Elephas maximus indicus: one gene and its partner. The protein of the gene in region 2 purifies or fractionates together with the protein of the main gene of each other region. This does not show direct contact. Links are inferred from orthologs where the notes say so. Each region holds a gene or a part of one and is shown on either strand. Other genes may lie near its edges.

The links.
Region 1: the proteins of LUZP1 (region 2) and DAPK3 purify together in Homo sapiens (affinity purification with mass spectrometry; 3 studies listed by BioGRID and IntAct, with this or other methods). This does not show direct contact. The link is inferred for Elephas maximus indicus from reciprocal best matches to the Homo sapiens genes LUZP1 and DAPK3.

What each region holds. Positions count from the first base shown.
Region 1 is NC_064821.1:7,016,363-7,026,478, forward strand, and holds the start of DAPK3 (death-associated protein kinase 3), read right to left. Parts: upstream 4,296-10,116; 5' UTR 4,187-4,295; intron 2,847-4,186; 5' UTR 2,751-2,846; coding exon 2,689-2,750; intron 754-2,688; coding exon 393-753; intron 1-392. UniProt on the Homo sapiens protein: Serine/threonine kinase which is involved in the regulation of apoptosis, autophagy, transcription, translation and actin cytoskeleton reorganization. Involved in the regulation of smooth muscle contraction.
Region 2 is NC_064821.1:63,577,070-63,587,449, forward strand, and holds the start of LUZP1 (leucine zipper protein 1), read right to left. Parts: upstream 4,159-10,380; 5' UTR 4,076-4,158; intron 1-4,075.

The DNA.
Region 1 (10,116 bases), about 57 Mb from region 2:
ATATAAGTTTATATATGAGAGACTGACTTGATTTGTAAACTTTCACTTAAAGCACAATAAAAATTATTTTTAAAAAAATGGGTGGAGGTATAGAAAAAAAAGAAATGCAATCAAACATGACTAAACAAAAGACAACAACTAGGTAACGTTATCTTCATGAAACAGAGAAATGGAGCTCGGGAAGGGCTTGCTCCAGGCCCCACAGCTCACAAAGAGACAGAGGGATCCTATCCCTCAGATTCCAAGCACCTCTCCCTGGCCCCACCCTCGCCCACCTGGCCAGGGTCTCCAGCTCCGTCCTTGGGGGAAAGGGTGAAGCGTAAGGGGCAGTGCCCTGCCGTCCTTGGGGGAAAGGGTGAAGCGTAAGGGGCAGTGCCCTGCCCGCGGCTCACCTTGAGGTCGAAGTGGGCGATGCGTTTGGAGTGCAGGTAGTGGACACCATCCAGGATCTGCTTGAGGAACTGGGTGGCTTCATCCTCGGTCAGAGATTCCTTCTCGGCCAGGAAGTCGAAGAGCTCGCCGCCCGAGACCAGCTCCAGGATGAGCACCACGTCTGTCTTGTTCTCGAAGATGTCGTGCAGCGTGATGATGTTGGGGTGCCGGATCTCCCGCAGGATGTTCACCTCCCGCTCGATCTCCTCGCGGCTCACACCCCGCCGGCTGGATGACAGGCGGCGCTTCTTGATGAACTTGGCAGCGTACTCCTTCCCGGTGCCCTTCTGCCGGCACTTCCGCACGATGGCAAACTGGCCGCTGCAGGGCACCGGGGGGACAGGGAGAGGGGAGGTGGGCAGGGGGTGGGCCAGTGACCAGCTCCTCTGTGCAGAAAGCCCAGGACACACGCCCCCTGCTGGCGGAAGAGGAAACTGTACATCCTCCAACCCCATTCAGGTGCTTCTTCCAAACGCTCAGCATCCCCCTAGGAGCCCTGGTGGCGCAACAGCGAATGCTCCACTGCCAACCGAAAGGAACCCACCCAGCGGCTGCACAGGAGAAATCTGCTTCCATAAAGATTACAGCCTAGAAGACCCTATGGGGCAGTTCTACTGTCACCTGGGGTCAGCATGAGTCAGAAGGGACTTGACGGCACACAACTACAGGTGGTGCAAACAGCTCGTGCTTGGCGCTAACTGAAAGGCTACAGGTTCAAACCCACCCAGTGGCTCCCTGTAGAAAGACCTGGTGATCCGCTCCCATGAAGATTACAGTCTAGGAAGCCCCATGGAACAGTTCTACTCTGTCACATGGGGGTCACTACAAATCGGTGGTTCAGGGGCAGAATTCTCGCCTCCACGAGGGAGACCCAGGTTCGATTCCTGGCCAGTGCACCTGATGTGCAGCCACCATCCATCAGCGGAGGCTTGCACGTTGCCAGGATGCTGAACAGGTTTCCATAGAGCTCCCAGGCGAAGGCACACTAGGAAGAAACGCCTGGCGATCTGCTTCCCAAAAAGCAGCCAATGAAAACCCTGCAGATCACAATGACTGTGAGGATGGTGCAGGACCAGGCAGCGTTTTGGCCCCTTGTGCACGTGGTGGCCATGAGACAGGGGCCAACTCAACAGTGGCTAACACCGACCTCCAGCAGAAGGTCCTAATACGTTTTCAACAATAAAGTCTAAGATTTTTCCGGTTGGGGATGGGAACGGGGCTGTCTTCTCTACCCCTCTAGGGGAGGAAAGTCCTAAGGGAAGGATCTAAACCTGCACAGCCCTGACGCACGGCTCAGTTATTTACATTCCCTTCCAGTGACATCATGGGGCTGGCCTGAGGCTGCTCCAGGAAGGCCGGCCAGCAGCCGAGCTCACCAAATAAGGTTGGAGAAGCCACAAAAATGAAGGCGGGCCTGGCAGTGCCTGGCTGCTGTGGGGGGCCCAGCCAGACAGGAAATCAGCTGCCTGGCTGGAATGGGAAATCTCAGCTTTTCCCCCACAAGAATGCAAAACAATGGGCAGGGGTGTGGGTCCAGACAGGGGCTTGTCCCTTCAAACACGTAAGAGCTCAGAGAGCTCTGGAGTGCCCTGTCTCCCACGTGAGAAGACTGAAGACACGGTGGACCCTTAGTAATGAAAATAGTGAGCATCTACTGCCCTCTCCCTGGGTGGTGCTAACAGGGAGCGCACTCAGCTGCTAACCCAAAGGCTGGAAATTCGAATTCACCTAGAGGAGCCTTGGAAGAAAGACCTGGCCAATCTAACTCCAAAAAAATCAGCCATTGAAAACCGTATGGAGCACAGTTCTACTCTGACCCACGTGGGGTCACCATGAGTCAGAGTCAATTCAACAGCAACTGGCTTTATCACTCTCCTACTGTATGCAGTTCAAACCCACCCAGAGGCTCCACAGGACTAAAACCTGGCGATCTTCTCCCATAAAGATTATAGCCTGGGAAACTCTGGGGAGAAGCTCCACTCTGTCACTATGAGTCGGAATCGACTCAGTGGCATCTAACGACAACCCTGTGCCAGGCACTGTGTTAGGTGCTATCTATACCCGATTCCATTTCTCCCCAGAAGACAGGCACAGCAATGTCCCAGCAAGAATTCACAGCCAGGACCATCTGACTCCAACACCTGGCCTTGCTCCACCAGTGCATGATGCTGACTCATTTCTTCTTGAGGAGTCGGATAAGGACAGGAAATCCCCCCTCTCCTCTTCCCCTTCACCCAGGCCCCTCTGACTGCTCACCTGCCCAGTTCCTCCCCCATCTCATAGTGGTCCTCCACGTCTTCCTGCCTGAATGTAGACATGGCGGTGGCTCTGCCTTCCAGCGGCTTCTGCTCCAGTGAACACCCAGTCGCAGAGGCCTGGAGACAGGACCTGAGGGATGCCCCCTCACCGTGACCCTGGAGGAGACAGGGAAACAGCCATTGCGTCAAACACCAGCCTCATCTCCTTCCGCTGAAGCTCACTAGAGCTTCCAGACTGAGAAAGACAAGGAAGAAAGGCCTGCAGATAGACTTGTGAAAATCAACCCATGAATACCCTCTGGATCGCAATGGTCCGATCTGCAGCCCACCATGGGGATGGCTCAGGACAGAGCAGAGTTCCGTTCTGTTATCCATGGGGTCCATCGGACCCTGACAGTTCAGTGGGCAGGGTACTTTCATGTGTCACCTCACTGACATCTTAACCACTCCCAACAAGGTTGGTATGAGCCCCTACCTACCACCTCTGTCCACGCAGCCCTCCTATGCACAGTGCTCTCAGCACCGCCCCCGCCCCCACTGCTCCAGTATCTCTTTCTCTACATCTTCCTCCTAGACTTCTCTCAACTGCTCATTCCAGAACGTTCCCCCTACTCTTCCCACCCCCACTCCGAGGGCACCCTTACTCACTGCTAGCCTCCTCGTGTAAGTTCTTCTCCCAAGAGACCGCCATCTCCAAGCCCATCAGCTACCTTAACCCTGCCTCACCCTTACCTGATCCACCCCCACACACCTAAGACCCTCCTCAGAGAGGTACCCCCCCATTCTCTTGTTGGTAGGTGCCATCCAAAAGACTCCAACCCATAGTGACCCCATGTGACAGAGAAGAACTGCTCCACAGGGTTTCCTCGGCTGTCATCTTTACTGGTGTAGATCACAAAGGCTTTTCTCCAGCTGAGTAGCTGGTGGCTTCCAACCACCCACCCCTTCATTAGGACCCCAGGCCGTAACCACTGATCCCCCAACCTGACTTCCCCGGCTCCGGATAATGGCTTCCAAGCTGCTGCAAGCCCCCTACCCACTCTTGCACCCCACTTCCACTGTTCTAGAAAGACTAGGTAACCGCTTCCTCCTCCCTGCTCCAAAGAACCTCCCCCATGGATGGAAGGTCCCCCCAGCCCAGTCTCCCCAGACCCCAGGCGGGCCCCCCTTTGGCCCCTCCATTCCCCCTGCAAAAGGGCCACAGTGAGTCTCCCCCTCGACCTCCACCCCGCCCCCCATGTCCCCAGCCCCAGCACAACCTCCAAGGGCTGGCTCCAAGGGTCCCCTAGGAACACCCCTGTCTCCCGACCCCCGACGTTCCTCCTCAAGCGTTCCCGCGTCCGCCACGCCCCTCGCAGGCACGGAGCAAGCCCATTCTCCGGCCCGGTCACCCAAGAGGTCCCCAAGCCAAGCCGCCCCAGAGCCTCTCTGTCCCCCTGTCTTCCAAGGATCCTCACGCGACGCCCCAGCCCCTGCCCAGCCCGCTGGCCTCGCACCGGGTCCGCTCCACACCCTCTGCGGCCCCGAGCCCCGGCTGCTCCGCCGCCGCGCTGGCCGCCGCCTTCGCTGTCCCCGGCTCCCCAGCCTCGACCGCGGTGACGCGCCGACGTCACCGCGTCCGCCAATGCCCGGCCCCGGAACGCGGATACCCAACCCCCATTGGTTCGCGCAAACGCCGTTCGTGCCCCTCGCTCCCAGGGGCGGCTTCGCCATTGGTCGATGGGCTCGCCTTCCCGCAGCTGATTGGCTAAAAGGAACGCTGGTCAAGGTGACGGAAGTAATGCTGACTTCCGGACCCTGGACCGCCCCGCCCACCTCCCTGACCCGGGTCCTGAAGCTGCAGGGCGGGATGCTCAAGTCCTGGATCCTTGTCCTTCCTTTCTCGCGCGCAAGGTACGTTGAGTCAGAGGTCTAGCTCAGGCTAGGTGCGCGCTGCTGCTCCTGGGCTGCACCCTGGTGCTGCATGCGTCCCTGTGTTGTAGCTTTGCCCCTTGTAAAATATTATCTACATTCTAAATACCTAAATAAATGCAAATGGAGAGGTCGGTCGGATGAGGGGGAGTTTTGCTGTGAGCTGCTGCCAGTATTGCTTCTGGAACTTTCTGGGACTTCTGTTGATCTCAAGATAAATAATTAGGTTATTGTTGTGAGGTGCTGTAGAGTTGGTTCCAACTCATAGCGACCCTACATACAATGGGATGAAACACTGCCCCGACTCGCGCCATCCTCACAGTCGTTGCTTGAGCCCATTGTTGCAGCTACTGTCAACCCATCTCACTGAGCGTCTTCCTCTTTTTCGCTGATCCTTTTTCACTGATAATTAGAGCTAACATTTATTGCCCCCCACGCATATGTCAGTTTGTCATACTGTGCGGACTTGCAGGTTGATGTAATGCTAGAAACTATGCCACTGGTATTCAAATATCAGCAGGGTCATTTATGGTGGACAGGTTTCAGCTGAGCTTCGAGAGTAAGACAGACTAGGATGAAGGACCTGGCAGTCTACTTCTGAAAAAAAACTAGCCAATGAAAATCTTACGAATAGCACCAGAACAGTGTCTGATATAGTGCTGGAAGATGAGCCCCCCAGGTTGGAAGGCACTGAAAAGACGACTGGGGAAGAGCTGCCTCCTCAAAGTAGAGTCAACCTTAATGCCGTGGATGGAGTCAAGCTTTCGGGACCTTCATTTGCTGATGTGGCACGACTCAAAATGAGAAGAAACAGCTGCAAACATCCATTAATAATCGGAACCTTGAATGTACGAAGTATGAATCTAGGAAAATTGGAAGTTGTGAAAAATGAGATGGAACATATAAACATCGATATCCTAGGCATTAGTGAGCTGAAATGGATTCATTTTGGCCACTTTGACTCAGACAACCCTGTGGTCTACTATGCCGTGGTCTACTATGCCAAAGTCTACTATGCCAGAAATAACAAATTCAAGAGGAATAGCGTCACATTCATCAATAAAAAGAACATTTCAGGATCTATCCTGAAGTACAATACTATCAGTGATAGGATAATATCCAACATATATATATATGTATATATATATATCCATCTGTCTGCAAAGAAGACCAGTTAATACGACTATTATTCAAATTTACACACCAACCACTAAGGCCCAAGATTAAACTGTTGAAGATTTTACCAACTTCTGCAGTCTGAAATTGATCAAACATGCAATCAAGATACATTGATAATTACTGGTGATAAGAATGCAAAAGTTGGAAATGAAGAAGGATTGGTAGTTGGAAAAAATGGCCTTGGTGATAGAAATGACACTGGATCACATGATAGAATTTTGCAAGACCAATGACTTCTTCATTGTGTATACCTTTTTTCAACAACATAAGTGGTGACTATATACAAGGACCTCGCCAGATGGAACACGCAGGAATCAAACCAACTACATCTGTGGAAAGAAACAAAGGAAAAGCTCGATATCATCAGTCAGAACAAGGCCAGGATCCGACTATGGAACAGTCCATCCATTACTCATATGCAAGTTCAAGTTGAAGCTGCAGAAAATTAGAACTAAGTCCATGAGAGCCAAAGTACGACCTTGAGTATATCCCACCTGAATTTAGAGGCCATCTCAAGAACAGATTTGATGCATTGAACACTAACGGCGGAACACCAGGGGAGTTGTGGAATGACATCAAGGAATCATGCATGAAGAAAGCAAGAGGTCATTAAAAAGGAAGGAAAGAAAGAAAAGACCAAAATGGATGTCAGAAGAGACTCTGCAACTTGCTCTTGAATGTCAAGTAGCTAAAGCAAAAGGAAAAAATGATGAAGTAAAAGAGCTGAACAGAAGATTTCAAAGGTCAACTCGAGAAGACAAAGTAAAGTATTATAATGAAATGTGCAAAAGACCTGGAGATAGAAAACCAAAAGGAAAGAACACACTTGGCATTTCTCAAGCTGAAAGAACTGAAGAAAAAATTCAAGCCGTAAGTTGCAATATTGAAGGATTCTGCAGGGAAAATACTAAACTGCAGAAAGCATCAAAAGAAGATGGAAGGAATACACAGAGTCACTGTACCAAAAAGAACTGGTCAACATTCAACTATTTCAGGAGGTAGCATATGATCAGGAACCGATGGTACTTAAAGAACTCCAAGCTGCGCCAAAGACATTGTCAAGAAACAAGGCTTCAGGAATTGATAGAATACCAACTGAGATGTTTCCACAAACAGATGCAGCCCTGGAAGTGCTCACTCATCTATGCCAAGAAATTTGGAAAACAGCTTCCTGGCCAACCGACTGGAAGAGATCTGTATTTGTATCCATTCCCAAGAAAGATGATCCAACAGAATGCAGAAATTATCAAACAGTATCATTAAGATCACACACAAGTAAAATTTTACTGAAGATCATTCAAAAGCAGTTGCAGCAGTACATCCACAGGGAACTTCCAGAAATTCAAGCCAGATCCAGAAGAGGGGGTGGAACCAGGGATATCATTGCTGATGTCAGATGGATCCTGGCTGAGAGCAGAGAACACCAGAAGGATGTTTACCTGTGTTTTATTGACTATGCAAAGGCATTTGACTGTGTGGATCATAACAAACTACGGATAACATTGTGAAGAATAGGAATTCCAGAACACTTCATTGTGCTCATGAGGAACCTTTACATAGATCAAGAGGCAGTCTTTTGAACAGAACAAGGGGATACTGTGTGGTTTAAAGTCAGGAAAGGTGTACGGCAGGGTTGTATTCTTATTCAATCTGTATGCTGAGCAAATAATCCAAGAAGCTGGACTACACGAAGAAGAACAGGGCATCAGGATTAGAGGAAGACTCATTAACAACCTGCGATATGCAGATGACACAACCTTACTTTCTGAAAGTGAAGAAGACTTCAGGCACTTACTAATCAAAGACCACAGCCTTCAGTATGGATTACAGCTCAACATAAAGAAAACAAAAGTCCTCACTACTGGACCGATAAGCAGCATCATGATAAACAGAAAAGATTGAAGCTGTCAAGGATTTCATTTTACTTGGATCCATAATCAACGCCCATGGAAGCAGCAGTCAAGAAATCAAAGGATGCATCGCATTGTATTAAAAAGCAAAGATGTCACTTTAAGGACTAAGGTGTGCCTGACCCAAGCCATGGTATTTTCAGTCACCTCATATGAATGTGAAAACTGGAGAATGAATAAGGAAGACCAAAGAAGAATTGACACCTTTGAATTGTGTTGGCAAAGAATATTGAATATACCACGGACTGCCAAGAGAACAAACAAATCTGTCTTGGATGAAGTACAGTCAGAATGCTCCTTAGAAGCAAGGATGGCAAGACTACATTTCACATACTTTGGACATTATCAGGAGGGATCAGTTCCTGGAGAAGGACATCATGCTTGGTAAACCAGAGGGTCAACAAAAAAGAGGAGGACCCTCAACGAGATGGACTGACACAGTGGCTGCAACAATGGGCTCAAGCATAATGACAATTCTGAGGATGGCACAGGACCAAGCAGTGTTTCATTTGGTTGTACACAGGGTTGCTGTGGGTCGGAACTGACTTGATGGTGCCCAACAACAACAACAGTCTTTAAGTAAGCAGATTGCCAGGTCTTTCTTCCATGGAGCTGCTGGATGGGTTCTAATCACCAACCTTTCTGTTAGCAGCCAAGTGCTTAACCGCTGTGCCACTAGGGCTCTTTGTCACAACCAATGGCCTAATGATAGATTAGTATTAACCCAAGTCCATACTTTATTCAGAATTTCTGTTTTTTCCTGATATCCTTTTTCTGTACCAGGATCCCACGTCTGCACAGGCTCCTCTGACAAAACTGCTTTATGTTAAAAATGTGCAAAACTAAATGTAATGTGAGATCCTGAATTGGATTCTGGAGCAGAAAAAAAGGATATTACTGGAAAATCATGGCATCTGCATCAACTCAGTCATTTAGTTGATAGAACCCCGGTAGTGTGATGTTTAAACATTCAGCTGCTAACCAAAATGTTGGAGGTTCAAATCCACCCAGCAGCTGAGTAGAAGAAAGGCCTGGCAATCTGCTCCCGTAAAGATTACAGCCTAGAAAACCCTGTGGGGCCGTTCTGCTCTGTCACGGAATCGACTCGCCAGCACACGACGTTTCTCTCTTAGCTCTGACTGATGCACCATGGTGATGTAAGCTGTGAACGTGGGGGAAGCTGGATGCGGGGTAGACTGGAACTCTCTGTAATATCTTTGCAGCTTTTCTGTACCTCTAAATTTAGTCAAAAATAATCTTTTAAAGTGAAAAAAAATACTTTGAGTGGGTACGTCAGGCAATGTCTTTTTTTTTTTATTAACTTTTATTGAGCTTCAAGTGAACGTTTACAAATCAAGTCAGTCTGTCACATATAAGTTTATATACACCTTACTCCGTACTCCCACTTGCTCTCCCCCTAAGGAGTCAGCCCTTCCAGTCTCTCCTTTCGTGACAATTTTGCCAGCTTCCAACTCTCCCTATCCTCCCACCCCCTCTCCAGACAGGAGATGCCAACACAGTCTCAAGTGTCCACCTGATATAATTAGCTCACTCTTCATCAGCATCTCTCTCCTACCCACTGTCCAGTCCCTTTCATGTCTGATGAGTCGTCTTCGGGGATGGTTCCTGTCCTGGGCTGACAGAAGGTTTGGGGACCATGACTGCCGGGATTCCTCTAGTCTCAGTCAGACCATTAAGTATGGTCTTTTTATGAGAATTTGGGGTCTGCATCCCACTGATCTCCTGCTCCCCCAGGGGTTCTCTGTTGTGCTCCCTGTCAGGGCAGTCATCGGATGTGGCCGGGCACCATCTAGTTCTTCTGGTCTCAGGATGATGTAGGTCTCTGGTTCATGGGGCCCTTTCTGTCTCTTGGGCTCATAGTTGTCGTGTGACCTTGGTGTTCTTCATTCTCCTTTGCTCCAGGTGGGTTGAGACCAATTGATGAATCTTAGATGGCCGCTTGTTAGCTTTTAAGACCCCAGACGCCACATTTCAAAGTGGGATGCAGAATGTTTTCATAATAGAATTATTTTGCCAATTGACTTAGAAGTCCCCTTAAACCATGGTCCCCAAACCCCCGCCCTTGCTCCGCTGACCTTTGAAGCATTCATTTTATCCCGGAAACTTCTTTGCTTTTGGTCCAGTCCAATTGAGCTGACCTTCCCTGTATTGAGTGTTGTCTTTCCCTTCACCTAAAGCAGTTCTTATCTACTAATTAATCAATAAAAAACCCTCTCCCTCCCTCCCTCCCTCCCCGCCTCGTAACCACAAAAGTATGTGTTCTTCTCAGTTTTTACTATTTCTCAAGATCTTATAATAGTGGTCGTATACAATATTTGTCCTTTAAGCAATGTCTTTTTATTAATTAAAAAAAAAAAAAACGAACGCATTGCCATCAGTCGATTCTGACTCATCGCAACCCTATA
Region 2 (10,380 bases):
AAGCACTCAGCTGCTAACCGAAAAATCAGGGGGTTCAAACGCACCAGCGGCTCCGTGGAGAAAGATGTGGCAGTCTGCTTCCATACAGTTTTACAGCCCTGGAAATCCCATGGGGCAGTTCTACTCTGTTCTTCAAGATCCCTATGAGTCCGAATCAACTTGACAGCAGTGACTCTGGTTTTGGTTTAATGGTATTTGGAGAGTTGATGGCTGATGTAACCAGAGTTTTCATTCTCAGATGAATTCATGGGTGGGAGAAAGGAATTATAAGATAGTCAACACACAGAAATAGAGTGGATAAAGAGGAACAAGAACGACTAAGTGGTAGAAATGGTGTTTCTAGAAGCTAAGTAGCACAGGTTTCATGCATTTTCTAGTACGAGTTAAAGCAGATCTGGACAGGTTCCATAACTTGAAAAATTACGAGAAGAAAAAAAAATAATCTTTTATCTTCCCAGAAAGTCGCAATTCCTGCCTAATGTATTTTCCTTTGTAGAATATCAGCTAAGTTAGAGATAACACTGGGGATATTCTCTCACAGGTGCAAGTGCAAGGCCGTCAATCACTTTACAGCACCCCCACCCTTAAGCATTATTTGAACCACCACAAAGTGTTAAGTATTTCTTAGGTATAGCCAAAGATGTTAAGCTTTGTATTTCAGGAGCTACCATTTCAAAAAAGGAAACAAAAATTAAATTCAACTCCTTAATCAAACTTTCGGTAATTTTTTTCCGTCACAATGTGTTTCTGTCCTAGAAGAAACTAAATCGGGTTCCTCCCAAATGTATTCATCCTTCCCCTGACCTGACAAGTGTCCCCATCTCTACCTCTCTTGTTCTTCTCACTCACCTCACCATTAAACACCTAAGCTCTCCTGGTTCCTACTAAGTTGGCACGCAGACTTTCACTCTGATTGAACCAGGACTGAACCTGAGCAGAACCAGGTGCCCCTGAGTCAATTCTGACTCATGACAGTGCCATGTGTGTCAAAGTAAAACTGTGCTCCATAGTGTTTTCAATGACTGATTTTTCAGAAGTAGATTGCCAGCCCTTTCTTCCAATGGACTTCTGAGTAGACTTGAACCTCCAACCCTATGGTTAGGAGCCAACCATGTTAACCATCTGCACCACCCAGGGACTCCAAATCTGAGCACAGAAACCTCGTATCCCCAGGGATTACCCTGCTACATGATTCCTAAGAGATAACACAAGAGTTCAAAAGAACAAAGGCGGTGACAGTGTTACACAACTGTACACATTTGTCAAACCTCATCAAACTGTATGTTTAAAACTGATGAAATTTATTGTATGTAAATTATAGCTCAATAAAGCCCTTTTTTTTTTTTTTAAGAATGCATTCATTCAGCAAATAGTTATGTGGGTCAAAGTTCACACCAAATCTTCCAACTTGGACTATTTGGGTTTTACCGGCAGTGTGCTTTACTCATAAGCCAACACTGTCCCAAAAAGTCATGTTACATGAAAAATCATTCCGTTTCTGATCATAAATATCATCTTAATGTTGACCTCTACAGTGGAAGGGCCATTAGCTGCCCACCATCTCCCATTACCTAAATGACATCTTATGAAATCCGATAATTCTATATTCTAATACAAATGAGTCCATCACAAGCAAAAAATTTCTAAGCACATAGTGCATATAAGACATACTCCTACCACAGTCTTACATGTTTGTCTTTCTACTAAAAAACTCGAAAACCTCAGAAGCATACTGACAACATCGCTCAAAGAAAAGAAGCCAATGTTACTGGAGAATAGACTTAGCTGACTTTTTCTAAGGTCCACAGTAACCCAGAGGCTGAGTCACAGACTAGAAACTAAGTCTCCTGGTTCCCAAGGCAGTATGCAGAGTGGAAATAACCATGGACCTTAGAAACAGAGACGGGTTTGAACTGCAGCTCCACTTCTTCTTGGGAAAGTCACTTTGCCTTTCTGAACCTCAGGTTAGCTCGTCTGTAAAACTGGGATGCCAATGATATGAGAAATAAACCATCTAGCACAATTACTGGGCACACAGAAGGCAACTCAACAATATTAGCTCTCTTTCTTCAACTTAAATTATTTAAGACTAACACCTAATAACCAAGGAAAGCAAACTCACAAACTAGATTACCAATCGAAGGTCAACAATGAACCTGTATTTGCTTTGTCCACACTCCAGCCCCCTCCCCTTCTATCCCACTACTTCCAGTTTTTTAAACTTTAGTTACTATGTTTAGAAAAGTGATTTAATTTTAGAAACCTTGAAAATTCTTCTGAGTAAATCGACCAAAACCTTAATCTGCCCCAAGGGGAATTCTGAGCAAAATAATTATCTCTGACAAGCGAAGAATTTTCTATGGAGGTTATTCAATTTAACCACTCGAATGCCAACAATCCTGCACACAAAGTGATGGAAAGCAATCTAGAACATACTATCCGGGTTCTCCTTAAAGAAATATCCTCCTAACATCCAAACCCCTCCCTCCCTATCTGAGGCAGTAAAATCTTAGTGGGTGACCTCAACTCTCCCTGCTCTGACACAAGTCCTGCTCTCTAGGCCAGAGCTGCAGCAACTTGTATAGAAGTATCTCCAACAAACCCCACCCCTCAAAATATTCCCAAAAGGCAGGGAGGTCCAGGGAGTATTTTCTCTTCAAAGGACAGATAAGGCGCCAGGCGCTCAGAAGCACAATCCCTTCCCCAAGGTCATTCAAGTCAGTGAAGGTGCGAGGGAGAATCTGCAAGCAGTCTCTGGTCTCCTGGAGATCACACTGCAGGTTCTTTTGGGGTGCCTATCCTCTCCCCCTTCCCACCCTCAAGTGTGAGCACTGGCCTCGGCATTTCCGAAACAAGCCACAACAAGCACTGCAGTGTTAGGAAAGGGGCTGACGCGATGAAGAAACAGATGCTCCAAAGCAGCGAGATGGTCTTCCTCGGCTTGCAGAGTCTCCTCCCAGGTTATTAACCGAAACCGCAGGCACCTCAGAGAGCTCTCCACGGGGCTCCGAGCCCCCAACCCGACCACGCCGGGACGCCGGGCTCCCTGAAGGCCGCCTGGGCAGCCAGAGGCCACGGGCCCCAGAAACCTCACTTGGCTCCAGCGTTTGGGGAGCCACGGCCCCCTTCCCGGCGGCCGGGGGCGGGGTGCGCAGGAGGCGGGCGGCGCGCTGCGGAAAGTTGGCCGCGGCGGCGCGCGGGGGGCGGCCCGGGCCGGCTGGCCGCGTCCCCCTGCAGATTCCACCATTAATTAGTCCTCAGGACTGTCTACTGGCAACTTAAACAAAGCGAATGCCTCGCATTCCTTCCCGGCCCAGTGGTCTGGCTTCGAGCGCGGCATCGCTCGGGACACCGGCCCGCGCCGCCGACAGCTGCGCCCGCGGCGGGACCCCTCCCCGGCCCGCGCCCCCGCGCCCCCACAGCCCGTCCCGCACGCCGGCCGCCGCGCTCCCGGACCTCCCCCCCACTCCTCCTCCTCCTCCTCCTCCTCTCCTCCTCCTCCTCCTCGGGAGCTCCCGGCTCTTCCTGTATGATCACTTCCTTCCTCCCCGGTGCCCGCCGGGCCCCGCGCAGCCCCCTCCCCGGCGCCCCGGCCCCCCACCCGGCCGCGCCGCGCCGCTCCCCGCCCCCACCGGCCCGCGCCAGCGCACCGCTTCCCACGCGCGCCCCCGCAGCCGGCCCCGACCCTCGAAACTCTTCTGGGAGCCTCGCCCCCTGAAAACGTCTCCCCAGCTGCGCCCCCAGCATTTCTCTCCCACCGAGAAGTCCCCTCCGAACCTCCCTCCGCCTCCGAAAGAAAACCCCCTCGGATTCTCTTCCTCCAACTCCAGAAAAAACCTCCAGGTCTCGCCCCGAAGATTCCCCCTCAGCAGCTCGCCCCCATCTCCATCCAGAAAGCCGCTCACACTCTTATCCCACCCCCCAGCCGCGGCTCCCCCCCGGGTCGCCCCCCGGCTCTGCCCCGAAGCCCCCGGCCGCCCCGACCCCTCTGGCCGCCCTCCTCTCCCGCCGCACGCCCCGGCCGCCCGCGCCGCGCCCCCGACCAGCTCCCGCAGCCTCCCCGCGGACCCCTCACCTCCGCAGCTCCGGGCCGCGCTGGGCTCCGCGCTGGGCTCCGCGCTGGGCTCCCGGCGGCCGGCGCCTCCTCCGGCTCCCCCGGACTGACAATGAGGGGCGGGGCCAGGGCAACGTCAGGGACCGGGGGAGGGACCTGCTTAGAGGGGCGGGGCTTCCACAACGCCCCGCCCCCTCCGGCCTTCCTCCCCCTTACTTGGACTGGGAGAAGTTTTTATTGCCTAGGTGACCGGGGCCTGTGTTAGGCGCGAGGGGAAACAGAAACGGAAGGCAAGACACCCTGCTTTCGAAAGGGTGCTCTGATAGGGGGGTCATGAGGCTTCAGTGAGGTACTTCATGTAAAGGTGCTTAGCCCTGAGCCTATGGAAAAGGAACTCCGCTTGAACTCAGGAGCCATGACTTCCAGTTCCCAGAACAGCTATTAATTCGTTGTGACCCTAGAGGAGTCTCTTCCCATCTGTATTCCCCACTTATACCTTCATTAAACTGGGAAGGAGTGATGACTAGATGTTCTCAGAAGTCCGTCCAACAGAGGAAAGGAAAAGAAAAAAAAAAAATCCCTTCGATAGCTTTATGACATAGTTCCTGTGGGCCTACTATGTGCAAGGTACCTAGTGTCCAGAGAAGTGGGGGGAACCTTTGACGGGAGCCCAAGCGCCACACCCAGCAAGGTACAGGACACAGCAGGAGACACGCTCTCCCAGGCGGATGCCTTCCCACGCGCTCACTGGCACGGAGCGGCACTCACAAGCCAGGACACAGATGCGCTGACGGCGCTTGCTTTCCAACTGCAGCAGCATAGCTCATCTCTTGAGACATCTCTTGAAGGAATAAAGGCCAAAGTCTTGGTCCAGTCTGAGCGCTTCCTACTTTTCCAGATACACAGGCCATGCGCGCACACACACACACACGGAGTAAAGGTTAGCCAAACTTGCCCTAACACACCCACTGCTTTCCCACATTTCCCCCTTTGCTCATGATCTTCCCTTGCTTCTCATCTCCGTGTGCAGCTTCCTGGTTTCCCCAGCCAGAAGCCTACTCCCTGCTCCGAATGCCCCTTTGAATATTGGCAGTATCGCTTTTAAGGGCATAGTCACGCACGCTGCCCCAGTTTGTTCCTTAGCACTTCCTAGAGGTCAAAACTCACACATTTTTGTGGAGCTGGGGTTCTCCTGGCCCCTACTAGTTCTCTGTGATCCTCAGTCTCCTCACCCGCAAAATGGGCGTAATAATGTGGTCCTTATAGGGTTTGTTTTAAAATTACATAAGATGCTGTGTGGAAAGCACCAGGCACAGTGTTCCACAAAGGATGTCGTTGTTATTCTTATTTTCCTTAGTATTATTATCATCAGTACTATATCTAGCACTGAACACTACCCAGAAAACCCAGTGCGGTCGAGTGGATTCCGACTCATAGCGACCTTATAGGACAGAGTACACAGCAATAATTCACCCAATCATTTTGCAGAGGGAGATTTGGGGATCCTGAGAGAGGAAGAGGCTTGTAGCAAGCAGCCCTACCACACATTGCCGTTAGAACAGGAACCAGCACTGGAGACTCCAGGCCCCAGGTGAATTCTGCAGAGTCACATTTGATGCCCCAGAGTGCCTGTCACTCCGCACCCCTCCAAGTTGGGGACAGCTGCACAGCTCTCTCTCTGCAAGTTCTTTGCAGAAGAGCTGACCCGTTTCTCCTTCGTGCCTTTCTGCTCTCGCTTTCCTTACAGAGAAATGGATCTGGGTTAAACTGCCCTTGGCCTGTCTGCAGTCCTCTAGAAGAGCTGCAGTGAGGCACTGGGCGTTTCCAGAGCGCTGGCCTGTGGGAAGAGGGGAAGGGCTTTGGGGTTCTGATTAATTTCCTGCGCTGCGGACAGGCAAATGGTTGTCCTGAAATGCCTGGGCTGGTCCTCATGCGCCCCTAACAACGTGTGGCTTATTTTTAGAATAGAAGATTCAAAAAATGCCACTTGCCATGAAAAGTAGGCATGGCCACAGGATTGCTGCAGGCAAGGAAAGGGCCTTTAGGGAGTTCCTGCTATGTGCTGATGAGAACTCAGTATATACAAAAAACGTATATACAGGGAAGCATCTAAAGACAGAACTTTCTCCCCAGGACCCATGGCCCCATCAACTACTTAGTCATTCATTCACCACACATGCTTTGGCACACAACCCATCAGGATTAAAATCCCAGCTCCACCACTAACCAACTGTGTGGCCTTGGGCTTTCAAGTCTCTGAACCTCAGTTTATCCTCTGCAAAATGGGAGTACTCATAGAACCTACCTCACAGAGTGACTGTAAGGATTAAATAAAATAATGTGTGAAAGAGCTTAGCACAGAGCCTGGCATCTAGTTCATACCAAGATACGGTAGCTGCTGTGACATTTCAACACGTACTCCCAGTAAGGGCCTCCCATGTGCTGGCCTATGGGCTGCAAGTAGGGCTAAATGTCCTGCCCTCAAGCAGCTCAGTCAATAAAAGGAATGGGATAGATTGGTATAAATAGGCAAGAAAAGTTGTCTACTGGGTATTGTTAAGTGAAAAGAGTAAGTTTCAGAATGTAATGGGTAGTAGGAGCCCATGTTTATGACTTACATACGCTTAGTAAAAAAAAAAAAAAAAAAGGAGATTCATAAAAAAGTGGAGAATATAGAAATCTAAATAGAGGGACTTTCGCCCTTTTTCTTTGTGCTTTGCTTTTGTCTGTGTGTGTGTGTGTGTGTGTGTGTGTGTGTGTGTAGTAGAAACTTTCAAAACGGACTACTAAATGCTAAGAGGGAGGAAAGGGGATGAAAACATAGCTACAAGGCATATCAATAGTGGGCATCTGAGCTAAATATGCATACTGCCATAGGAAGTTCACAGGTTCCTCCCATTCCTCCTGGGATTCTAAGCACAGCCCCCACCCAAACAATTCTCACCTTCTCCCCCTACCCCATTATTTGGTTGCACTTGAACTTTCATGGCTAAACACCTAGCAGAACGTCCAGGAACTGTGTTGAGACCAATAGGAGAGATTTTTAAGCAGGAAGAATTTTTTGCTCCCTGTCTCATGCCCTGCCCCCACCTCCCAAAGTATAACAGTATATCAGCACCTTGTGCCTACTGCGCCTAGACTTGCACTTTCATTTTTACTCATTATATCTTCCTGCAATTTAAATTTTTTACAAGGAGCATGTATTTCTTTGTCATCAGAAAAAAAAAGCAGTAAAGATAAACATAAAAAGAAAGCCAACCAAGCCGATGTTGGTTCACCTTGATCAGTTTGAAGACAATACATAAGTTATAAACCTTTGCCATAGAGTCAATTTGGACTGAAGGCAATGCCGTGTGTTACAGAGTAGAACTGCTCCATAAGATTTTCTTGGCTGTAGTCTTTACGGAAGCAGATCACCAGGTCTTTCTTCCATGACACTGTTGTTTGGGTCGAACCACCAACCTTTAGGTTAGTAATTGAGTGCAAACCATTTGTACCACCAAGGGATGTCACTGTCAAGTTGCTGTTGAGTCAATTTTGACTCACAGTGACACTACAGAACAGAGTAGAACTGCTCTGTAGGGTTTCCAAGGAGTGGCTGGTGGATTTGAACTGTTAACCTTTTGGTTAGCAGCCAAATGCTTAACCACTGTGCCACCAAGGCTCCATATAGGCTATAAGGGGTCATTATTGGTATTTTGCAGCTGAGGACCCAAGGTTCAGAGAGGACAAGTCTAGTGGAATCCAAATCAAGACCTGTACAAGAAGTCCTGGAGGAAATGGGCTGAATTTGGAAGTGAATGAGCTATATACTCAGGCAGCCATTATTAGCCGGGTGGCCTTGGGCAAGTCACTGAACTCTTAACAACAGTTTCTCCACCTCTGCGGAGTAAGGGTACCCCAGGATATCTTATGCAAGTTAAGTGCTTTGTTTATATTTCATATTTTTTCAAGTGCAAGTATGTGTGGAACGAAATCTTTGGACTCTCATTCCTGCTTACCAGACTTTTGACATTGATTGCCTTACTATACCAAGTTGGTATCATTACTTGGTAATGCCAGTTGCTGAAACTGTTGGACTTTGCTTAATATTTATCACCTTTGAAATTGCTTTATTATACCAACTTGGTTATATTGCTTGGTAATTACGTACGCAAGACATTGACGTTGCTGGATTTTGTTTTATAGTAGTTGTTTTTCTACTGTTTACTTTGTCATATTATTTTTTGGATGGTTTTCCTCCATGATGGAGCTCTTCTTAAGTTTTCTTTTGTTGCTTTCCCTAATTCCCATCAACACTTGCAAAAAGAATGCGTTTGTCACTTTAGCCCAGGCAGTGGCCAGAGCTGGAACCCTAACTAATTGCTGGATCTGTCATTTCCATCCTCAATCTGGGCATGAGAATTCAGACCCATTAACCCGTCCTGTTAAATTGCAGTTTCCTACCTAATTGAGCTCATGAAGACACAGTATATAGATCAAGAGGGAGTTGTTCAGGCATAACAAGTAGATACTGCATGGTTTGAAGTCATGAAAGGTGTACATCAGGGTTGTATCCTTTCACCATTTTTATTCAATCTTTATGCTGACAAATAATCCAAGAAGCTGGACTATATGAAAAAGAACGTGGCATCAGGATTGGAGGAAGACTCATTAACAACCTGTGTTGTGCAGATCACACAACCTTGCTTGCCGAAAGTGAAGAGGACTCGAAGCACTTACTGATTAAGATCAAAGACTACAGCCTTCAGTGTGGATTATATCTCAACATAAAGAAAACAAAAATCCTCACAACTGGACCAATAAGCAACATCATGATAAAAGGAGAAAAGGATTTCATTTTACTTACATCCACAATCAACACCCATGGTTACAGCAGTCAAGAAATCAAATGATGCATTGCATTGGGCAAATCTGCTGCAAAAGACCTCTTTAAAGTGTTAAGAAGCAAAGATGTCACCTTGAAGACTAAGGTGCCCCTGACCCAAGCCATGGTGTTTTCAATCATTTCATATGCACACAGAAGCTGGATGATGAATAAGAAAGACCAAAGAACTGCCACTTTTGAATTGGGGTGTTGGTTAAAAATATTGAATATACCATGGACTGCCAAAAGAATGAACAAGTCTGTCTTGGAAGAAGTATAACCAGAATGCTCCTTGGAAGCAAGAATGGCGAAACTACGTCTCACATACTTTGGACATGTTATCAGGAGGGATCAGTCTCTGGAGAAGGGCATCACGCTTGGTAAAGTAGAAGTTCAGCGAAACAGAGGAAGACCCTCAATGAGACGGACTGACACAGTGGCTGCAACAATGGGCTCAGGCGAAACGATGATTGTAATGATGGCGCAGGATCAGGCAGTGTTTCATTCTCTCGTACATAGGGTCGCTATGAGTCAGAACTGACTCAATGGCACCTAACAACAACACGACAACCTAATGCTACTGTAAATTCTAATATTGCCTTTAAACAAGCCCTGCAAGTAAGATTATGGCATCCCCCTGGGCAGCCCACTCAACCTCAAGTACCACGTTTTAATTTAAGTCTTGTCCAGGAATATGAAATAGATTGCACAAAAATGCTAAATCTTTCTCAGAAAGGTTTAGAAAAATTCCTCAGGGGGTTGATTCAACAATGTAGACTTAATTCTAATTTCTCAGTCTCAAGCACTGGATTCCCTAGATATTTTGGAAAACTACCAAGCTCAACAGCAATAGATTTCCTGAAGAAAAATCAATCAAACCGCTTTTATGCCCAACGTAGGTTGGGACAGTTACCTATCTGCAACAGCTCCCTCACAAGCAAGTGGCTTGAACAAATAAATCAAACCATTCCTCTTCCAGAGAGTGATCCTGGAACTGGTATGACATTTGCCCCTTATAGATATGTGTTTTTATGTAGAGAATCAAATTACCCTGCCATCGAAGGACCAAACCCAAATAATGAAACTTAACCTTGGGCATTGCCCTGCCTAAATGGTTGGAGAATGAGAAGGCAATGCAACTTGAGTCTTTTAGGAGTTCATTTGGACATTCATTCTTACAATGAGAAAGTATGCGTTGGACAGATGACCTAAAGATATTAACCAGAGATATACCCCCCCAAAAAAACACAAACAAACAAACAAAAAATTTTTGTTTTTTGGGTAGATATAAGAGAGAAGTTGAATTGAACCCCCTAGTTGAAAGATCTGGAAAGGAATGGTCTTTTCTTTGGGCCTTTATATCAGTCCATGGTATTCACCAATTAGAGAAGGCTATCCATAACCTGTCCACTACTATGGAACAAATTGCAAATGACGCTGTAGACAGTCTTACAGCTCA